Arabidopsis thaliana: one gene and its partner. The gene in region 1 interacts genetically with each later gene. Each region holds a gene or a part of one and is shown on either strand. Other genes may lie near its edges.

Region 1 (12,014 bases):
AATTATATTATTATATGATCAAAAACAATATATGCATGAGCAGCCTATCAAACTTGGAGCCTTCGTTTTTATCCATGCCTGACTTTACACCTCTATCATTCCCATGCATGGGTCCCTTCCTCCACCTCTGTTGCTCTCTCTCTTTTTAACACAATAGAAACAAGAGATAGCGAGAAAGAGATGTGAGATTGAAGCAAAGGAAGAAGAACACAATTGTGACAAAAATAGGGCTTTTCTATTTGACTTTTTTTTTTTTTTTTTCACTTTCATTTCATTCCAAAGAGTGGAATAAAAAGACACTTGTGCTTTTCCCTTCCATTGAGTATGTGATCTCAATATCATTGCTGCATCGATTTCCCATTTATGGAGTAAACTCATGTTTTGTTTTTGTATTTATATATACGGAGAAAAAGCAAATCCTAAGTAATTATAATAAAGTTTGATTAGGTATTATCATGGATGCTTTCTTTTGGTATTAGGATTAGTTTTCTAGACTACATAATAAGAATTTCAACTGAAAACGTTTGTAGACTCTAGTCTTAATCCATGTAAATTTTTAATAATTATAGAGTAGACATGTTCAACGAAAACTGATCTCTGATTTCGATCTAACTCTAACCAACCATTGTATACTTTGCAACTTATGTAAGATTCATGAGATTGTGTTGGTAATACTATGTAGAGTGATTGAACTTCATAATGGTACGATCACCTTGACTTTCATATATATAATTCCACTCAATGTTATCTGTTCACAATATATGTAAAGTTTGGCCAGTCCATAAGGGCTGTGAAATAAGTTTCAGTCCAATGAATTGATCATAATAACAATTGATTAGTTGAATCCAAATGAGACTTTAGACTGCACTCATTGTGCATCGCTTATCTTAATTAGTGTTCAAACCTAGGTGTCAGGAAATTAGGTTTTTAAATGGTGGTATGGTTAGGACGTCCAAATAGGCAAATACTTGAGAAATGAAACTTTAAATTAAAATTCCTGATTCACATATGAAACGAGATAAAAGCGTGGATCTATACGCAAATTTATATCTATATCACATATATTATGTGGAGCTCCAAAAAGAAGTATACCAATGGCGGAAAATGACACCAACAAGAAGAAAGAAAAAGAAAAAAGCATTGTAAATTTTGGGAAATCAAGCAATGTACAATGTAGTGTGTGACATGGGAACAAGAGTAAGTGGACTTGGCCCAGTGGGGTACTCTCTTGCTCCATGCCTCTTGCTAAAATAAAAAGTTGGCACACAAATAAAAATGGAATATATAATTGATAAAGCCAATTATTATTTTGTAAAGATTGATATTGTCAAATTTAAAGGTTTGACATTCTTTTTTCTCCAGCAACCAAACTATTCACTCTATTTGTAGTTTTTTTTTCCTTATCATAAAAGCATCCAAAGCGTTTTAAAAAAATCATTGCATAATGTATAATGTGTTATGGGTGAACAGTCAAAATGCAAATTGCTAAACAATTTAGTACCTAGGCTTTATATTTGAATGAGTAAATGCTGTGTGTTTAATGTTTATCAATGCATTAGTGGTAGATTAAACATGGGTTGAGACTTGAGAGCATATATCTCCACCATAAATATTCAGTCGTAAGTCCAAATATTTTCTTGAAAACAACATTTGAAATGTCATAATAACAAGTACCATTTGGAATTCTATTACAAAAGAGTTAATCCATATAAGTCATATAGATTTTGATTGGTAAATTGGTAACACGATAAAAAAAATGAATGAAAACCTACTTTCACAATCTTTTACTTGTCAGATAATTTTGAAAACTTTTTTCTACAACTTCTTTTTTCATTTGCTTTGATTATGCGATGATATTAACAAATGAAGGATGCGACTAAACCTTCACAACAATGAAAACCAAAAAAAAATCCATTTACCATAGTTCAAACTTCAAACACGGTATATAAATGGTGAACATGCAGGAGTTAATAATCCCTCGTGATGAGGAAAACAAAACTCAAAACTCAAAAGAAAAATGTTTTGAGTGGCGCGAGAAGAAACCTCGTAATATTGTGTAGTTAAATAATGTTAAGTGGTGTTTTATGAAAAGAATACAACTTGAAAAGCATTTATTTTGCGTGTATTCGATGGAGAAAAGTATTTAGTAGTTGTAGCCTTTTATTGAAATAAAAATGGTTAATTGGGTGTCGAAGAAAAGGATATAGGGAGCTACGTGTGGTGGTATCTGCCATGTAGAAAATCGAAGCGCATGCACAAAGTTGGACTCATGATGAGACTTCACATGACCACCTTCATTTATTCCTCCTACTCCTCTCTCTCTCTATGTACAGTATTAGTATTAAATTACGTATATAAAAAAAAAAAAAAAATATTACGTATATATAAAAAAAAAAAAATATTACGTATTTATTTTTTGTCCTAGCGTATAGACACGTAGACCGTAGTTATAAGAAGTTAGTCGTTTGTCCGAGCATTGATTTTGTACAACTCTTACAGAACCTAAAACAGACTGTACTTACCAATGCCAAACTTGTCTGTCTTCTCTTTCTATTTATTTCTTGACTCAAATTTGAATCGAATATATTCATAATCTGACCAGAAAAAACCAAAACTCTAATAAACAAAAAAGCTTTGAAACTAACAAAGCGAAGCCAAATTTCATAAAAGAAAGTTTAAACACACAAAAAGTCCTAATTTGAGGCATTTTTTGACAGGACTAATAACTTTATATTTCAAAAAAATAAAGTCCCTTTCACGCTTCTCACGCGCTCGGTGAGTGACATTCCCACACCATTTTCCTCATGCATGCAACATTTATCATCATCATTATCATAAACCTAATGCATACAAAGATGTACGTAGATATACACATGATGATATATTGTACATGCAACATACATCAGCATCAGCATATGATGAACATCAGAAAGAAGGAAAGAGAAAGAAACTTATGTGATGTCCTTCTCACAGAGCTAAAGACAACAGCATTTTTTTTTCCCTAAGTTAGCAAAATACCCATTTCGTCAAATATCCGTTTCTTCTGACAACAATTTCTTCGAATAAAACATAACAATATTAAAAAGAAAAGGTAAAGAAAAAAACAAAGATTGGCCTGTCTTCTCTGCCTCCATATTAAGTTAGTTATTTTATATGTATTTTTATCATTACTGTTGTGGGTAGAGTAAAAAAAACAGATGGGTTTTGCAGAGACTGTTTTGCGTGTGTTGGCTTTTCTCCTTTATTGTCTTTCCCCTTTTTTATCCTGCACCTTATTTTAATTATTTCTTAGCTAATTTTTTATTGCTACAAATACTAGAATAATTTTATTTTATTTTTGCATCACAAGTTATAACCAGAAGAAACTTATGTAGTAATTAGTACACATAAAACTCAATTGCATTTTCTTTTTACATTTTTTTTTTTTTTTTTTTGGACAAATCATTTTCTTTTTACTAAAGTAAATGTTTTTAGTGAACACATTGAGTACAAATATGGACACAAAGTATAAATTATTATGAGATTTTGCAGTAGATATTAATTTATTTTAGCTATGTAAATAAAACCGTAAAAGTAAAAAGCTTTTATCAAATTCAACCCACCTGGCGTTTCAGTTTTCATTTTTTTTTTACCTTTATGCTGTTTTTATGTTCTTGCAAGTCTTTCTCGCGCCACACAAAAGAAAAGTAATTTCTTTTAGAGTTATGTTTTATTTTTTTTGGACCATGTCTTAAAAGGATCTCGAGATTGGCGTCTGAGATAAAGACCTCTACTTTGCTTCCTTTATCTTGCTCCTCTTATCTCTTCGCTTCTCCTTCCTCTCCTCTCTCGCCATTGCCCTCTGGCGTTTTCTGTCTTGAGCTAAAGAAATAACAAATAAACCGAAAAAAATAAAAATAGAAACTTTTTTTTTTGTTTATTTGTTCTTTCTCCAAAACTCCTTTTTTTTCTCACCATTATCTCATGAACGTGAGTGGAGGCTCTCTGAGTAGAGAGAGCCTACCCTTGAAAATAACCTAGGGATTTCTCCAATTTTCAAGCTTTACCCATTCAAAAGAATCGTCCTTTTTTCCTATTTCTGACTTTGAGCTATGATGATGGTCCATTCGATGAGCAGAGATATGATGAACAGAGAGTCGCCGGATAAAGGGTTAGATTCCGGCAAGTATGTGAGGTACACGCCGGAGCAAGTGGAAGCTCTCGAGAGAGTTTACACTGAGTGTCCTAAGCCAAGTTCTCTAAGAAGACAACAACTCATACGTGAATGTCCGATTCTCTCTAACATCGAGCCTAAGCAGATCAAAGTTTGGTTTCAGAACCGCAGGTGAAATTTCATCTTCTTTCCTTATCAAAGTTGTTACCTTTTGTCTGTATTAATTGTTTTCTTACCATTAGATTATCTTTTTGTTTGTATATGAGTTTATGAAGATGTTAAATGTTTTTCTTTCTTTGACTGGTCAGTTGTATTTAAGTTTCCTTGCTGTTCTTATCTGACAAGAATTTTTTGGATCTCAGTGATCATTTTGTTATGAGTTTTAATCGTCTTCTAAATCTCTTTAAAGCAAGAAACTTTGTTTACCATATGCTTTGACGTATCTAGTTGGTTGAATATCTAAATTCACGAAAGTGACATTTAATCAAATTGTCTTTGAATGCGTTTCCAACATTTATTTCTGTCAAAAGCTTAAGATTTTCTGCCAGAAATTATGATATGATAAAGGGGAAAAATTTACATTATCTTTTCTTCTTTATATCATTGGATGTGTTTTATAAAGACAAATGGTGTCTGTCTCTGTTCATCCACTAACATTTCTTCCCATCATCCATGCACATTTGGCTTTTATGTTGGCTTAGTTGGTCTAACGAAGCTTCCTTTTGATTTTTAGATGTCGTGAGAAGCAGAGGAAAGAAGCTGCTCGTCTTCAAACAGTGAACAGAAAACTCAATGCCATGAACAAACTCTTGATGGAAGAGAATGATCGTTTGCAGAAGCAAGTTTCTAACTTGGTCTATGAGAATGGCCACATGAAACATCAACTTCACACTGTAAAGTTCACTTTTCACTATTTTCTGTCTCTAAAACTCAATTCTATGAAGCATTTTGTTTGAAAGTTGTTATCTTTTTTTTGGAATGTAGGCTTCTGGGACGACCACAGACAACAGCTGTGAGTCTGTGGTCGTGAGTGGTCAGCAACATCAACAGCAAAACCCAAATCCTCAGCATCAGCAACGTGATGCTAACAACCCAGCAGGGTGAGCTTTTCTTGTCTGCTCTATAACTCTCTAATGAATTCTGTTTCCCACTCTGTGACAACCTAAATGGTTCTTTTTTGTTTAGACTCCTTTCTATAGCAGAGGAGGCCCTAGCAGAGTTCCTTTCCAAGGCTACAGGAACTGCTGTTGACTGGGTTCAGATGATTGGGATGAAGGTAATACTTTCTGGCCTGAATACTCTTAAAGTTGTATAATCTGATTTCTATTCTTTAGTTGTGTCTGAAGATGAAGTTGTTTATGATTATTTGATGAACCTTCATTGCTGGTGTAGCCTGGTCCGGATTCTATTGGCATAGTCGCTATTTCGCGCAACTGCAGCGGAATTGCAGCACGTGCCTGCGGCCTCGTGAGTTTAGAACCCATGAAGGTAAAGAGTGCGATTTGTTACGTTCTGGCTTGTGTTTATAATCATTAGCTTACGCTAGTCTTGATTTGAAAACAAATATAGGTTGCTGAAATTCTCAAAGATCGTCCATCTTGGCTCCGAGATTGTCGAAGTGTGGATACTCTGAGTGTGATACCTGCTGGAAACGGTGGGACGATCGAGCTTATTTACACGCAGATGTATGCTCCTACGACTTTAGCAGCAGCTCGTGACTTTTGGACGCTGAGATATAGCACATGTTTGGAAGATGGAAGCTATGTGGTGAGTTCTTGAATCTGCTTTTTCTGTTATGTAGTTTCTGTTTTAATACTTTTGTCTTCACTCACTGTCTTCAGGTTTGTGAAAGGTCGCTTACTTCTGCAACTGGTGGCCCCACTGGGCCACCTTCTTCAAACTTTGTGAGAGCTGAAATGAAACCAAGCGGGTTTCTCATCCGTCCTTGCGATGGTGGTGGTTCCATTCTCCACATTGTTGATCATGTTGATCTGGATGTAAGTGACAACTCGAATCGGTTCATAACACTTCAGTTCTCTCTTTATAATATGATCATGACTTTGTTTTTTCGGTTTTGCAAGGCCTGGAGTGTCCCTGAAGTCATGAGGCCTCTCTATGAATCATCGAAGATTCTTGCTCAGAAAATGACTGTTGCTGTAAGTTCAAATACCTTTATCCAAACTGTATATGACCTGAACGACTTGGTATGCTGCAATGTTTCTTAAGTTCGGAGTCTTATTTCAGGCTTTGAGACATGTAAGACAAATTGCACAAGAAACAAGTGGAGAAGTTCAGTATGGTGGAGGGCGCCAACCTGCGGTTTTAAGAACCTTCAGTCAAAGACTCTGTCGGTAAGTATCTACTTTACTTAATAGCTTTATCACCAAGAATTTCTTTTATTCTTATTCTAATTGTTCAATATGGATGAACTTTCAGGGGTTTCAATGATGCTGTTAATGGTTTTGTGGATGATGGATGGTCACCAATGGGTAGCGATGGTGCAGAGGATGTTACTGTAATGATAAACTTGTCCCCTGGGAAGTTTGGTGGGTCTCAGTACGGTAATTCATTCCTTCCAAGCTTTGGTAGTGGCGTGCTTTGTGCCAAGGCATCTATGTTGCTTCAGGTACATGTCTTAAGGATTTGATAATAAAAAAACTAATATTCTGTTTCTGTCTGTTTCTAACTAACTTGCATCTTTTTTTTTTTGTTTGAAGAACGTTCCACCCGCTGTGCTGGTTCGATTCCTTAGAGAACACCGATCTGAATGGGCTGATTATGGCGTGGATGCTTATGCTGCTGCATCGCTCAGAGCAAGTCCTTTTGCTGTTCCTTGTGCTAGAGCTGGGGGGTTCCCAAGTAACCAAGTCATTCTTCCTCTTGCGCAGACAGTTGAACATGAAGAGGTACTTTTATCAAAGAATAACACAGCTTCACTTTCTCCTCTCTCTAAATACGTGTTATAGTCCTGAAACCTTTCTTGGTTACTTGTTTCAGTCACTTGAGGTGGTTAGACTTGAAGGTCACGCTTACTCACCCGAAGACATGGGTTTAGCTCGGGATATGTATTTGCTACAGGTTTGACTTCATACTTTAACTCCAAAGTTTCTATGCTCCTTTGTTCTCTTCATGACATTTTGGATTCTTGATTCTTGTCTAGCTTTGTAGCGGTGTTGATGAAAATGTGGTTGGAGGTTGTGCACAGCTTGTATTTGCCCCTATCGATGAATCATTTGCTGATGATGCACCTTTGCTTCCTTCCGGTTTCCGCATCATACCTCTTGAACAGAAATCTACTCCGGTAACATGTCAAAAAGCCATTTAAGGATCAGTCCCAAATCATTTATTCTTGACGCAATATTCTAAATTTCTAATCCTTCACTGTCATATAGAACGGTGCATCTGCAAACCGTACCCTGGATTTAGCCTCAGCTTTAGAAGGATCCACACGTCAAGCTGGTGAAGCCGACCCAAATGGCTGTAACTTTAGGTCGGTACTAACCATAGCATTCCAGTTCACATTTGATAACCATTCAAGAGACAGTGTTGCTTCAATGGCACGTCAGTACGTGCGAAGCATAGTAGGATCGATTCAGAGGGTTGCTCTAGCCATTGCTCCTCGTCCTGGCTCCAATATCAGTCCAATATCTGTTCCCACTTCCCCTGAAGCTCTCACTCTGGTCCGTTGGATCTCCCGGAGTTACAGGTACTTCATTATCATTAGCCTCTAGGTTTCTGCTTTTGTTTACATGATCTATGGAGTATTTTATCTGAATTTCTCTTCTTTTCTTTTTGGCTTTGTAGCCTTCACACTGGTGCAGATCTCTTTGGATCTGATTCTCAAACCAGTGGTGACACGTTGCTGCATCAACTCTGGAATCACTCTGATGCAATCTTGTGCTGCTCCCTCAAAACAAACGTAAGTAACAAGGCTTCCCATTCAGATTTTGTATTTGTGACTAGAACATGTTCTTGAGATGACTGACATAAATTCTCATCTGTAGGCTTCACCGGTTTTCACATTCGCAAACCAAACCGGTTTAGACATGCTGGAAACGACTCTTGTAGCCCTTCAAGACATAATGCTAGACAAGACCCTTGACGAACCTGGTCGTAAAGCTCTTTGCTCTGAGTTCCCCAAGATCATGCAACAGGTTTTTGTTTTTTCTTGGGAAACATTTTGACATTTTCTTGGAAAAATCATTGTTTGACTTGGAATCTAAATTTTGTTTTACAGGGCTATGCTCATCTGCCGGCAGGAGTATGTGCGTCAAGCATGGGAAGGATGGTATCTTACGAGCAGGCAACGGTGTGGAAAGTTCTTGAAGACGATGAATCAAACCACTGCTTAGCTTTCATGTTCGTGAATTGGTCGTTCGTTTGAAGAATAATAAGAAATAAGAAGACCAGATTTTACTCCATTTTTCCCTTGGTAGGGAGGTTATTTATGTAAGATATTAAAGTTAGGTGCCACTATGCTCCAAAGTCTTTTGAAATTCGAGGACCAATATGTAATATGACGAATGTCTGATCTTGTATGGATTGTTCTTGTTCCTATGTTACGTTATATGGCAAGATTATTATGATAATGTTATCAAGTTTTTTTTCTTGTGCTCGTTTGCTTTCACAAGGTGACTAGTTTCTATTTTCAACTACCTATTTATATGACCATCTATGTCTAGTTTGTCTACTATAGGGGGTTCTTGTTTGACGTGTAGTTTTTTCTTTCCCTGAATGTTTTAGTTATGCTGCTAAAATTTAGCTCTTTACTGAAGTCTCATAGTTTGTAGCCAAAAAAAAAGAAAAAAAAAAAAATATATGAGTTAAAATTTCGTAAATATCTAATTGGACAAAGAAACTATATTAAGTTTTGGAACATCTAACAGGCTAATAATAATGATGTTTCATTTTTATAAAGTAAGAAAGATAGATGAATGAGCTAGCTGGTTACGTTGTGCAATTTTGGAGTATGTATATCAATAATTATAATAAAATAGAAATATATGTATTATTGATAAGATATTATGTTAGATTTGGGTATTATTGTTTTGTATAATGGAGGGTGGTCCAATTTGAATACAGGTTCTAGTTGTGCGAAGCCGTTAATAGCACTGCAAACAAACTTAAAGATTAGATTTGCATGAATCTTCACAATAAATGAATACATCATGCCTATTTATAAATTGATCGTACACTAAAAAAAAAAAAAAAACGTATACTGAAATCGTATCTATCATAAGAAAAGTAAATGATGATGATGCCTCCTACTCTTTAGCTTATAGGCAGAGAAACCTTTTTTTTGTCAATGAAACCTATACACGTTTTTTTCTCTGTAGTTGTCTATTTTAATGAAAATTTTAAATGTTATCGTATTCTACTGAGAAAGCCACCATTTTGGTAAAAGACTGTAGCAGAAAAAAATGGTTAAAAAAAGTTTTTAGAAAAACGGTGGAAGTGACCATTTTGGTAAAACGGTCGCAATAACATTTCCATAATTGTAGGAAATAAGTTTATCAAGTTGCTGCGCGCCTCTCCTTTAGCTTTAGTAAAGATGAATAAATAATTCATAGGATATCGAAAAAACGATACTGCTTTAATAATTAATATTATTGTACTAAACATTTAATCATAATTTTGTTTCTTCTCATAATTTTGTTTCTTCCCGTGTATATGCATCGGGAACAATACATTTCCTTCCCATTTCACTAGAACTTTTGAAGGCACCACCAAGTTTCTGGATTTTGGAAAAACCACTGATGATGGTATATTACATAAGGCAACATCAACTTTGTAGCCTCTTCCCTCCATGGCTCTATCACCATAAGAAAACTTTAAGGTCATGTCTTTGGCTTGCACAATCCATTGACAATAGATTACTATATATGAAGGAGCATTATTAAGCAATAGTATGTTATTGACTTGAATAGTTTGTTTATCTATAAAATATATAATAACAAAAATCAGAAGTGAAAACTATAATATCTAAACTACTCTTCCGTTCCATTTTAAATGATATTTTAATAGTATTATGATATATCATATATTAATGGTATTAAATAAAAATAATAATTATGATATATCATATATTAATGGTATTCTTCCGTTGAGGGAACATAAGTTATGATAAAAAAAAATTAGTTATCGTGTAATCTCCTAGATCCATAACATCATAATTTACCGTAATTTTTATTTATTAATTCCATGAAATTTAGTCTTGATATCAACTCATGTAGCAAGTTACATTTTGATTCTTGAATTAATTTCGGTGTTTAAAGCATGTATGCATGCATTATACGGTCTCGCAGAAGATATTAGATGTGTTCTATCTGCTATGCCTTTAGGTTACTAATCTAAACCAAAAATACCAAATAAGCAAATAAACCACAAAGCAGAATACAAGCAACCAATTGTATAACTAAATTGAACACATCTTTTGACGACATTCCCTCTCCGCCACAACATTTGACATGTCGTTTGGCCCATAAGAAACTCGCCACTAGAGCCAAGATGAGGAGGACACCAACAACCACGGTGGCTATAATAAAGTAACCAATATTCTTCATATTGCTCTTCGAATTCACTGCACCAAAAATTTCTTCTTTTTAACTTTGTTTTGTGTCTTCTTCTTCTCCGGTATAGGTGATGTTTATATACACGTCTTGTCAACAGAAAAGTTTAACATTTTTGGAAAATATATATTTACATTTTTTCACTAAGGAACATTGGAAGTTTTACATTTTACGGCACTTTCTTGATCCTCATACCATCATATATGTACACATGTATTTAGTGAATCAAAACTATTAAACTATTTTAACATTTTTCTTCTAAAATTAATAATTAATTTCTAAATTTCCTTAATTATTGTACAAAAAATTAAAAGCAATAATTTTTTAAAAATTTTAAATTTCATTAATTATATGATGAAGTTTATAATTTGTTTTATTTTTTTTTTTAATTACAAGATATATATAGTTTCTTTATGTTTAACTTTTTTTATATTTAATATTTTCTTAATTCAAAACAAAAAAAAATATATTTTAATTTTTAGTTTATTTATTTATTTATAAGATACTAATAGTTTCTTTATATTTATCGTCTTTACTTTTCAATCCTTTTTAATTTTTATTTTTCAAATTATAAGAGACATAACTTTTTAATATTTATCTTCTTTACTTTTTAATCATAAATATTTTATGATAAATTAATTAAATTATGTATTGGTTGTTTTATGAAGTCTAGGTGGCAAGCTATTAGATGCTAACGTATCAAGCTGTGAGAAAGAGTTAAGCTCCTTTCATATATATAATACAACTAAAAATTTGAATCGTCAAAGAAAAATACCTTTAAAACAGAAATTTTCTGATTTTAAAAGTGCAAAAAGGTTAGTAATGCCGAATTTTAACGGAGGCTATTTTGTCCAAAAAAGATTGTTAACTAGCGATGACTATGAGGCTTGAGATTCTTCACCAATAAATGCCGACTCGCTTGGATTAGGGATATATTTCATCAAGATACGTGATTACTGGTGCCCATGCATTTACATAGTAACTTTACATTGTTAAATTTAACATTTTGTCACTAGGTAATCTTACCTAAGAAAATTAAAAATTAAAAATATTATATTTTTTTGTTGAATAAGTAACACAACTTGTCATGATGGGACTATATCATTAACACAACTTGAAGCACCAACTACTTTAATTAATTTATAGCCTCTTCCCTCCATGGCTCTATCACCATAAGAAAACTTTAAGGTCATGTCTTTGGCTTGCACAATCCATTGACAATAGTATTACTATATATGAAGGAGCATTATTAAGCAATAGTATGTTATTGAGTTGTTTTTTTTTTATTTTAA
Region 2 (8,842 bases), on another chromosome or scaffold:
GGACACATTGATGTATAACAAAATTAAAGGACACATTAAAGTATAGTGCTCCAATATTGGTATATCCTTAATTTAATAAGGTTTTGTTTATCGACCTCATATGAAGAATTTGATTTGTCATTATAAAATGTTTAGGAAACAAATTATTTTAAATCCAATTTGAAAATATTCAAGTTTTTATTGAAAATGTGAAGAATTGAAAAAAAAAAAGAAAAAAAAAATGTGAAATGACTTGATGTTTAGAAAGTAGTTGTAGGAAAAATAGAAGTCAAATAAAAGAGCAGAGAACTCGTAGTTTAGTTTTTCAAACGAAAATGAATAGTTTTTTGACTAATACTATATAATAATAACTTGTAGGGGTGTGTGTGATGGCGTCACATAGAATCCGAATGAAAAGCCCCTTGTCTCATCTCTCTGGACAGAGCCGCTTGAATCTCATGTCATGACACCTTCTGCCCTCCTTTTTCTTTTATTTTCTAAATGGAAAATATATATTCCAAACGAATATTGGGAAATTATTTAGTTTTTAAAAATTTAATTAATTAGTTAACATTTTATGCTCAATTCATCCATCATAACAAAAAAAAAAAAAAAATAGATATACACATTTAGAGAGTGACTGGAGTTTATAATTCATATTCAAACCCAAGAGTGTGTGTAAATTTGACGTAGCATCAATTTTGGTCTATTTAAAGCTATAGTATTCTGATATTATCCATTCTGAGGTTTTATCCAGTATTACTGTTGTTGAAGGAAATGATTTACATGACCAATATTATCAACAACTGGTTTGAACCATAATAATTAAATTGTTCAGATGCACATGGCATAATAATTAAATCATTTCAATTTAGAATGTTAGGATAAAGCTTTCATTGAACTTGCTACAACACATGTAGACTATATATACACAAACACTACTATTAATATTGTTTTTCTTCCTCATTTCCTCTACTCTAGTCTACTTGAAAATTACATAGACCTATTTATACTTAAGAAGTGTTTGCTAATCCTGATGAATAATTAGTGTCAATTCAACGATTCAGTTTCCACTTACTGTCTTACTCGATCGGAAAATATCATGGACAAAATGGGTCACTTTTGTTTTTGTATGAGATGATATATCAATATTGAATGCGTTTTGTATATGATTATAAAAATCGAATAACTTGTCCCCATGTTATATACGATACATTAGTTGATTGATATGCACTTGACAATATTTGATAAATGGAGCAAAGGTACAAAATGTTAGTCCAAGAATCAACCATATCCTAAAGTCCCCAACCCCACACCAGAGGATCTTTAATTAACATAGAAAATAGAAACAAAAGTAAAAATATGACTGAGAAGACTAACAGAGAGACACTGTCTTCTTGTAATAAAACAGAATCTTCTTTTCATAATAACTACTACAGTGCTCGATACTACTTATCTTCCTATAATACACCAAACAAAATAAAATACTTCCAAAAGGTTGGGTCTTCTTTTAATCTTCTCCTACGTACGGATTCGAGATCTCTTGCTCTAACGTATTCTTGATTTAAATCAAGATTGTCCAGAAGCAGAGCTTGATTTGTTGTCATTGTTTGATCCATTGTTAGAGTTCTTAGTTTTGGAGAGTTTCTGTTTGAGTTGAAACAAAAGCTGTTGGTTCTCTTGATTCAGAAGCTCAGCTTTCTTCCTTAGTCTCTCGTTCTCTTTCATTATGTAACAGTTTTCAACAAACAGCTTCGAGTTTAGCCTCTCCATTTCTGCTTTCTTGCTACAAGTAAAACAAAACAAAAGTATTATTACGAATTTTGAAAAATAAATGAGAAAAAGAGAGTAATAATATCAATAAAACCAAAGCTTGTGTTATGATTATTATTGTTCATGTTAAATCATTACATCACACATGGGTTGTGCAGCTTCACACGTCGGATGTGAATTACATTAGCTATAGGAAAAATCATTTGTCGCATTTATTTCGTTTTCATGTGAATTTCTTTTTCTTCTTTTTATGAAATCAATGATCAAAGAGAGAAGAAGAACATGATTATAAATTTGTATGGAGGATAAAAAGATAAAGCTAATAAAGAGAAAGAAATTGAAGAAAAGAGATAAAAACAAGTAATCATGATGATATATATGCAGTAATTATAAATGTTTTAACCTCTATGGACAGAGAGAGTAATGATTATATTTGAAACGCTAGAAAAAAACAGAGTAAGCAACAAAACAAAGATGGTGATCGTAGCAATACAGACTATTAAAAAGAAAAATCAAACAATTTTTTTTATTTATTTCGGTTGCCTCAAAGAAAAAGATAAAGATTAAAAACTTTCCATCATTGAGGAATATTTTAAAAGATGAAAAAGTTTTAACATAGAAAAAGAGAGAAATTAAGGGTTTGTCTTCACGTTAGTTGTACGTGTGACGTTACTACATAACTATTATCTTAACGTATGAACGCAAAAGCGATAGATAACAGAGCAAGAAACAGAAACAGAGCATGTCGAGAAAACTCACGTTAAGCTTCTAGAACAGTAAGAGAGTGAGAGAGAGAGAAGGAGAATAGAGGTTATACCTTTTGGGAAGGAGTGTTGAGAAGCAGAGATAACGAAGAAAGATTGAGAGAGAGAAGAGAGACGCTAGTTTGTGTGTGTAGAGAAGGTAGAGGGACAAAGAGAACAAAGTGAGACACTGTCTGTTATATAGATCCCCAAAAGCTAAAGAGAAAGAGAAAGAACCTTCTCTCTCCTGACACAACAATCATGCATTGTGTTGTGTTTCTGCATAGATGGCGGCCGCAAGAAGAGAGAGAGAGAGAGGAGATTTGTGCATATTGCGTCATGTGAATGATGATGATTTATTAAAGAGAAAGAAGTTAGAGAGAGAGAAGAAAAAAAAAAGGAGTTTTCTTGCTTGCTCTTCTTTCGAAATTGATCTTCAGGGATATTTTCGTAATTTCCGAAAGATCCCCTAGCACTTCCTTTGGCTCTTCATCGTATTCGTCCTCTAAACAGAAGATTCGGTTAAAAGAACTAGAGTAAGGGTATTTACGTCATTACGAAGGAAGTAGTACAGAGGAGGGTAATATTGTCATTTGTGTAGGACTAATGAGAGGGGCTATAGTAGAAGAGGCCATCGACCTCTAAAGATTCGCAATGATGGTAAAGATTGGTTCGAACCATCATCCTTCATGATTCTATTTCAACCGTTTTGGACCATTTTGTAAATGCTCTCTTTCCCCATCTCATGTCCCGGTTAGCTCAATCTTGGTTTAGTTCAAATATTACACTCCACCATTATTATGTTTTAGATTATTATTTCGGATACAAATAGTTTCCTTTGTGTGTTAAACTATTTGTTACTTTTTTCTTTGTATGAAAATCATAGTATACCACAATTTGAAAATGCATTTTTTTGTCCTCTTATATTGTCTCAGCATTCAAGATTTGATATAATTATGGTGGGAGAAGAAAAAAAGAAAGAAATAATGAAGAAGAAGAGTGTTTGGACTTTGGAGCCGTAAAACCTACAAAAAATAATCATGGATCAAAAGTGTTGTAGAACGTGAAACATCATAAACAGTGAGGTGGTTGTTTTTGGATGTATTTATGACTTCTCTTTTTTTCGTAACTTCACATGCCTTTGAATAAAACTCGTTCGTTTGCCCATGACTTAACCCCCAAAAAGAAGATGACTACAATTTCACGTTTATTTAAAACTACTTTGGCTTGTGTATATAAATCTTGTACGGCTTCTTTTAACCCTTCTTTCACGGAATAAATGTGAGAAATTGTGTTTTTTGTAAATATGCTGATTGTAGAAGTTAAACAAAACTGAAACACAATTAGTATTAAGTAGGTGTGTCTTGAAATGGAACTAAAGAGTGGGTACACTTGCTTACACCAAAGGCAATGATTTTAAAGGTGTGAGCAGCTTCATTTCTTGCTGGCCTATGCAATGCCGTTTCTACCCCTCATTGCTTTGGTCTAAGTTTGACAATTCGGTTTGGTGTTGATTTTTATTTATAAAATGAAACTTTAATTTATAAATATAGTTGGTTCTAGGATTAATTTTGGTTAATCATAACCCAGTCGGACCAATTTTCACACCCCAAAAAGGTTGAAAACTTTGTCTCTTTACCATGTAAATTTCAAAAACCTAAGAATATTCAAATATTCGGTTTTGGTAACCCCTATTAATGTAGTAAATGTTTGGTATAGAATATTAGATTACCATTCAGAGAAACTATATTTCGCTTTTATTAATTAATTGGAATTTTCTAGTTATTTTCTCCTTTGTTAATCTAACCTAATCTTTTTTGAACTTTATAATATAAACACAAACGAATTAAAAAAATATACCGTAATTTAACTGATTAAAAGTCTATATAAGTTTGTGTTTATATGACGTATATTTCATTTTGCTACGTACTACTGTATGTATACATTCATGTTGTATGATGGAGCATGCCTCTTTTGCACAAGAAAAGTACTGAAATCTCTTTATTTGAAGGAGTCCACATCCACCTCGAAGGCGATGTGCGCAGTGGTTCGATTGCTATACCCGAGATTGATTTACCGGCGATTGATGTCGCATCATCTGCTGCGTCGGTGGTGGCGGAAGAGTTAGGTAAATCAAATCTCACATAAATGATTCTCTGTTCTATTCTCCATTCTTCGTTCTTCTGATTGTTTTTTTAGGTTTTTGGTGGTTAGATGTTTGCGCCAGACGATTCAGAATTCATAAGGTGTAAAGTGTGTTCATATTAGACTGCATGCAAACATTATCATTGCACATCTTAACTTTTAAATAAAGGACTACTACAGATGTTTGGATGGACTACTACAGAAGTAATTTTCATTTAAATATGGATAAATATCGACGCTCACGATTCAACAAGCAAATCTAGTTTGATATGAATTAGCAATATGCAAAAAGTGATAAGGATTTGAAAAGTTGAAAAGCAACAAAGAAAATATAACAACTTAAAATATAAATGAGATATAATTCTTAATTGACTTGGTATCAAAACATTTGTGTCCTGTTTTGATATTGTTGTCAATACTCAATACTATATATAAGTACTTTTAGTATCTACGATTCTACATCGACATTTAACATATAATCTTATAGAATCAATGATGAGGAACAAGTCCTAACCACATTCAAGAATACGAACCGAGGGGGTCTAAATCTTACAAGATGAATCGGCTAAGAGACTGGTTAACCAAACCGAATCCTTTTCAACCGACACATCATCGTCGTTCCTGTGCCATTCCCAACGTGCATGAGTCGCATTCTCGACCACCAATTGACCATGCCCGAAACTTGCTTCTCTAAACAATGATATTTCGGGATTTGGATCTCTATACCTATGATGATTATCAAAAACATTAACATTTAATTAGTTTCATTTTCAAATTTTGTTTATAAAAAATCTCATTTAACGAAGATCTTACTTGGTAGCAAGGCCTTCTAGATTCCCACCATCTCCGATGTTAATATAAACCGGACCACATTTGTCGAACTTATCTTGGTACACTCGACTCTGTCAAATAAACACACAAATTAGCTCTATATATATAAAAAAAAATCAATGCAGTTTTTTAATGAAACCCTTTAGACTTACAAAACGCTCGTAAGCATGAACGTGACCTGCAAAAACCAAATCGACACGAGCTTTGTAAAGAAGAGTTTCCATGGATTCTTTCATCTCCACACTCTCTTTCTCTCCTTGGTGAGCTTCGTTGGAGTTGTACCAAGGCGCATGCACCACAGCCACAACCCACGGTGTGGTCTTACGGTCGATTTTCTTGAGATTATTTTCTAACCATTGGTACTGCTCCGAGCCAGGCTCAAAATCTGTGTATGACCCCAACATTATAATGTGGACTCCATAAACGTTGAAAGAATAGTACAAATTCGAGCTCGAGCCACTCTCTTCAAATGGCATGCGCCACCTGTAACGTGTATACAAAAATATCTAAAATTAGCATAACAAAGTTCTTTTAATAATAAAAAGTAGACCATAATAAAACTGATAAACCCAAAATTAATACAATAAATAAGGAGCTTAAAAAGAAAAGTAGGTTTGGTTGTTGGCTAGACAAATCGAAATAACTTACCTCTTGTTATAGGCGGTGAATGGGTTACTGTGTAAGATAGGTATTTTTTCGAGCTCGTGGTTGCCATGAGTGACCATCCAAGGTCTTTGGCTCGCAAGTGGCTGCACCAAGCGACCAAAAGTGTCCCACAGTGGTTGGTACATGTTAGCGTATGACAGATCACCAGGCAAGATGAAAACATCATAATCCCATTTTGATACATGTTCCAATGTTGATTTACTCCATTCAGATGTACCAAGGTCACCTTCATTTTTATCAAAAAATATCAAGATTATCAATAAAATAACAAATAAAGCTACAAAACCATGATGACATAAATCTATACTTACATAGGACAATCTAAAGAGTTTATATGAGTGAAGAGGAAACATGGAATGTATACCGGACACGGCGAATTTGATTGGGAATTTAGAGGGAGGAGTCCTGAAACTGAACTCTTGAGTTGAACTTGGGCCTCCACATTTGTAATAGTAAACTGTGTTGGGCTTTAATGGGCCTATAACAACGTCATTAATTTGGCCCGATCGGTAAATCAACAAGTAGTGGTACGATGACGACGTTCCATTAGCCGAGCCTTCGTATTTTCCAGAGACTGTGCCATATACAACACTAGGCGAGATTGAGCTTTGCGTTATCCATGATATTCTCATTTTGTCCGGCCCAACCAGAGATATATGCACCTGAATTTAAACGTCACAAATTCATAAGTAATTTAGGAACACACATTACTATAAATAAACAAAGACAAAGCGTACAAGCAAAACTGCAAAACAGATGAGTGACGAAAGATCTAACAGAAAGAAGACAAAGTGGGTAAATTTGTAGTAATGTTTTTTTCATTAGACACGTGGTGACTCCATACGTCACATGACAGTATGACACGCACGATGCGAATCTCTGAATTATTTGCAACTTAAACTGTTATTGACTACTGTGGAAACTAAATTTTATCAAACATAGGAAAATCTTTTAATTTTAATTTTTAAGGATTCTGAAAAGTTTATCTAGAGTCTAGAGGGGATGTTTCCTTAGACAATTATCATTAACTATCTGTCTCAAATTTTGAATTTGTTGATACAATTAAAACCTTTTTTATGCATGTATAGTTTGAAAATGTCTCCATTCAACGTTTCGTAATTAATAAAAAGGCGAGTACAGTGTCGTTTCAAATAGCATGTGTATACAAAGGTTTAAATTGGAAAAAAACAAACAAAATCACCCGAAATTATGGCAATGCTTCCGTAACGTAACTTTGTACACGAGAAAGAATTAATTCAATAGATTAATCTAACAATTTTCTGCTTTATTAAATTTTTACCCTCAAAAACATTTTAATAAGAGACAACATTACTGAAGCCAATAAGCCGAGGAGGTGAAGAAGATCCAAGTTTTCTTGATATTCGTATTATTGGTGTTTCATGAGAAAACTTAAGTCGATCTTGTTTATGTTTGAAAACTAACACATATCAATACTGAAAGACAAAATCTTGAGACTTGCCGTGTCAAAATTCTACTTACAAGGATTTTACATAAATGATACAGAATCCAATATGCATAATATATAACAAAAAATATAGATTTTAATGTAAATATTACCTGATCGGGGAACGTAGGATCATCTTCGTTAGTCGGATGGATCACTAAATTTTTCCGAGTACCCTGCCGATCATAAGATAACACATTTCCGGCCAAAACAATAAGCAGTATTGCTACTAAACCCAAAACCTTCACCATTTTGGCGAAATAGAGAGAGAGAAGAGAGAAAGAGAGAGATCGGATGACAAGAATGAATTAGGGACACAGTGTTATATAGTAGTAATCCTTTCCCCTTCTTTTTGTTTTCATTTTGGAAACTTGTAAAATTGGAAAATGTATTTGACCAAAACTTAACTAATTGGTACTTTTTCCACTAATTCATTAATAAAAAATAAAAATAAAAACTGTGCAAGCAATTGCAAAGTACACGAATGTAGCATGTTCAAAACCTGCATGGAAATCATTATGTATCTTAGTATATTCGGGGGGGGGGGGGGGGGGGGCAGTATCCTACGAGACTACGATGGAAAAAAATCTTGATCTTTGTATACCAAATATAAAAGTTATATGTGTTCTTAAACAAAAGTCATGAGATATGTGCTTTGCTAGATTATCTAGTAAAACAATGCCTTGCCTTCTATAACAAATTATTTTCTTAAACATTTAGATTTCCTTTGTACTAAAATGATTCTGATAGTAATAGAATATAGATTCACAATTTATGTTCCTAATAAATTGATGCTTTAAGTTTTTATCTTGTTCCTTAAAGATTAAAGTTTTAGATTAAAAAAGCTGAAATAATATTGTTTTTACTTTTTACTTTTTACTTTATGCTTTTTGCCATATGTCGTGGTAAGTAATGGTCTATACTTTCTAGCTCTTTACACTCATAATGTAATCTTAAATTAATTAATAATTAAAAAATTTCTTAATCTGAAAATAAAATAAAAACATCAATCTATCAGGAATAGAGAGAGAGAGTACTATATAGTGATGGAAAAAAACCTATATAGTGATAGAATATATATCAAAACATGATCCATTGTTATTCAATAACTTTATTGAAATCATGTGCAAATGAAACTAATATACATCGAGACTAAGAGATTTAGGGTTTATATTCTTAGATTTTAAATAGTCCTATACAAGCAAATCATTTAGTTAATAAATATTTAAAATTACTTGAA

The links.
Region 2: of PHB (region 1) and ZPR3, extra expression of one rescues a mutant of the other (dosage rescue), as found in Arabidopsis thaliana (one study listed by BioGRID).

Annotation. Positions count from the first base shown.
Region 1 is NC_003071.7:14,636,071-14,648,084, reverse strand, and holds PHB (Homeobox-leucine zipper family protein / lipid-binding START domain-containing protein), read left to right. Parts: upstream 1-3,729; 5' UTR 3,730-4,091; coding exon 4,092-4,324; intron 4,325-4,886; coding exon 4,887-5,046; intron 5,047-5,137; coding exon 5,138-5,253; intron 5,254-5,338; coding exon 5,339-5,429; intron 5,430-5,545; coding exon 5,546-5,641; intron 5,642-5,722; coding exon 5,723-5,920; intron 5,921-5,994; coding exon 5,995-6,150; intron 6,151-6,234; coding exon 6,235-6,309; intron 6,310-6,397; coding exon 6,398-6,504; intron 6,505-6,589; coding exon 6,590-6,779; intron 6,780-6,870; coding exon 6,871-7,059; intron 7,060-7,150; coding exon 7,151-7,231; intron 7,232-7,313; coding exon 7,314-7,454; intron 7,455-7,545; coding exon 7,546-7,859; intron 7,860-7,957; coding exon 7,958-8,072; intron 8,073-8,157; coding exon 8,158-8,307; intron 8,308-8,390; coding exon 8,391-8,537; 3' UTR 8,538-8,762; downstream 8,763-12,014. UniProt on the Arabidopsis thaliana protein: Probable transcription factor involved in the determination of adaxial-abaxial polarity in ovule primordium. Specifies adaxial leaf fates.
Region 2 is NC_003074.8:19,556,343-19,565,184, forward strand, and holds ZPR3 (binding protein), read right to left. Parts: upstream 2,982-8,842; 5' UTR 2,570-2,981; intron 1,766-2,569; 5' UTR 1,753-1,765; coding exon 1,549-1,752; 3' UTR 1,174-1,548; downstream 1-1,173. Other genes in the region: PAP20 (Purple acid phosphatases superfamily protein), read right to left, coding at 5,183-5,366, 5,454-5,542, 5,624-5,954, 6,120-6,363, 6,502-6,799, 7,716-7,853. UniProt on the Arabidopsis thaliana protein: Competitive inhibitor of the HD-ZIPIII transcription factors in shoot apical meristem (SAM) development. Acts by forming non-functional heterodimers. Part of a negative feedback loop. Involved in SAM development and lateral organ patterning.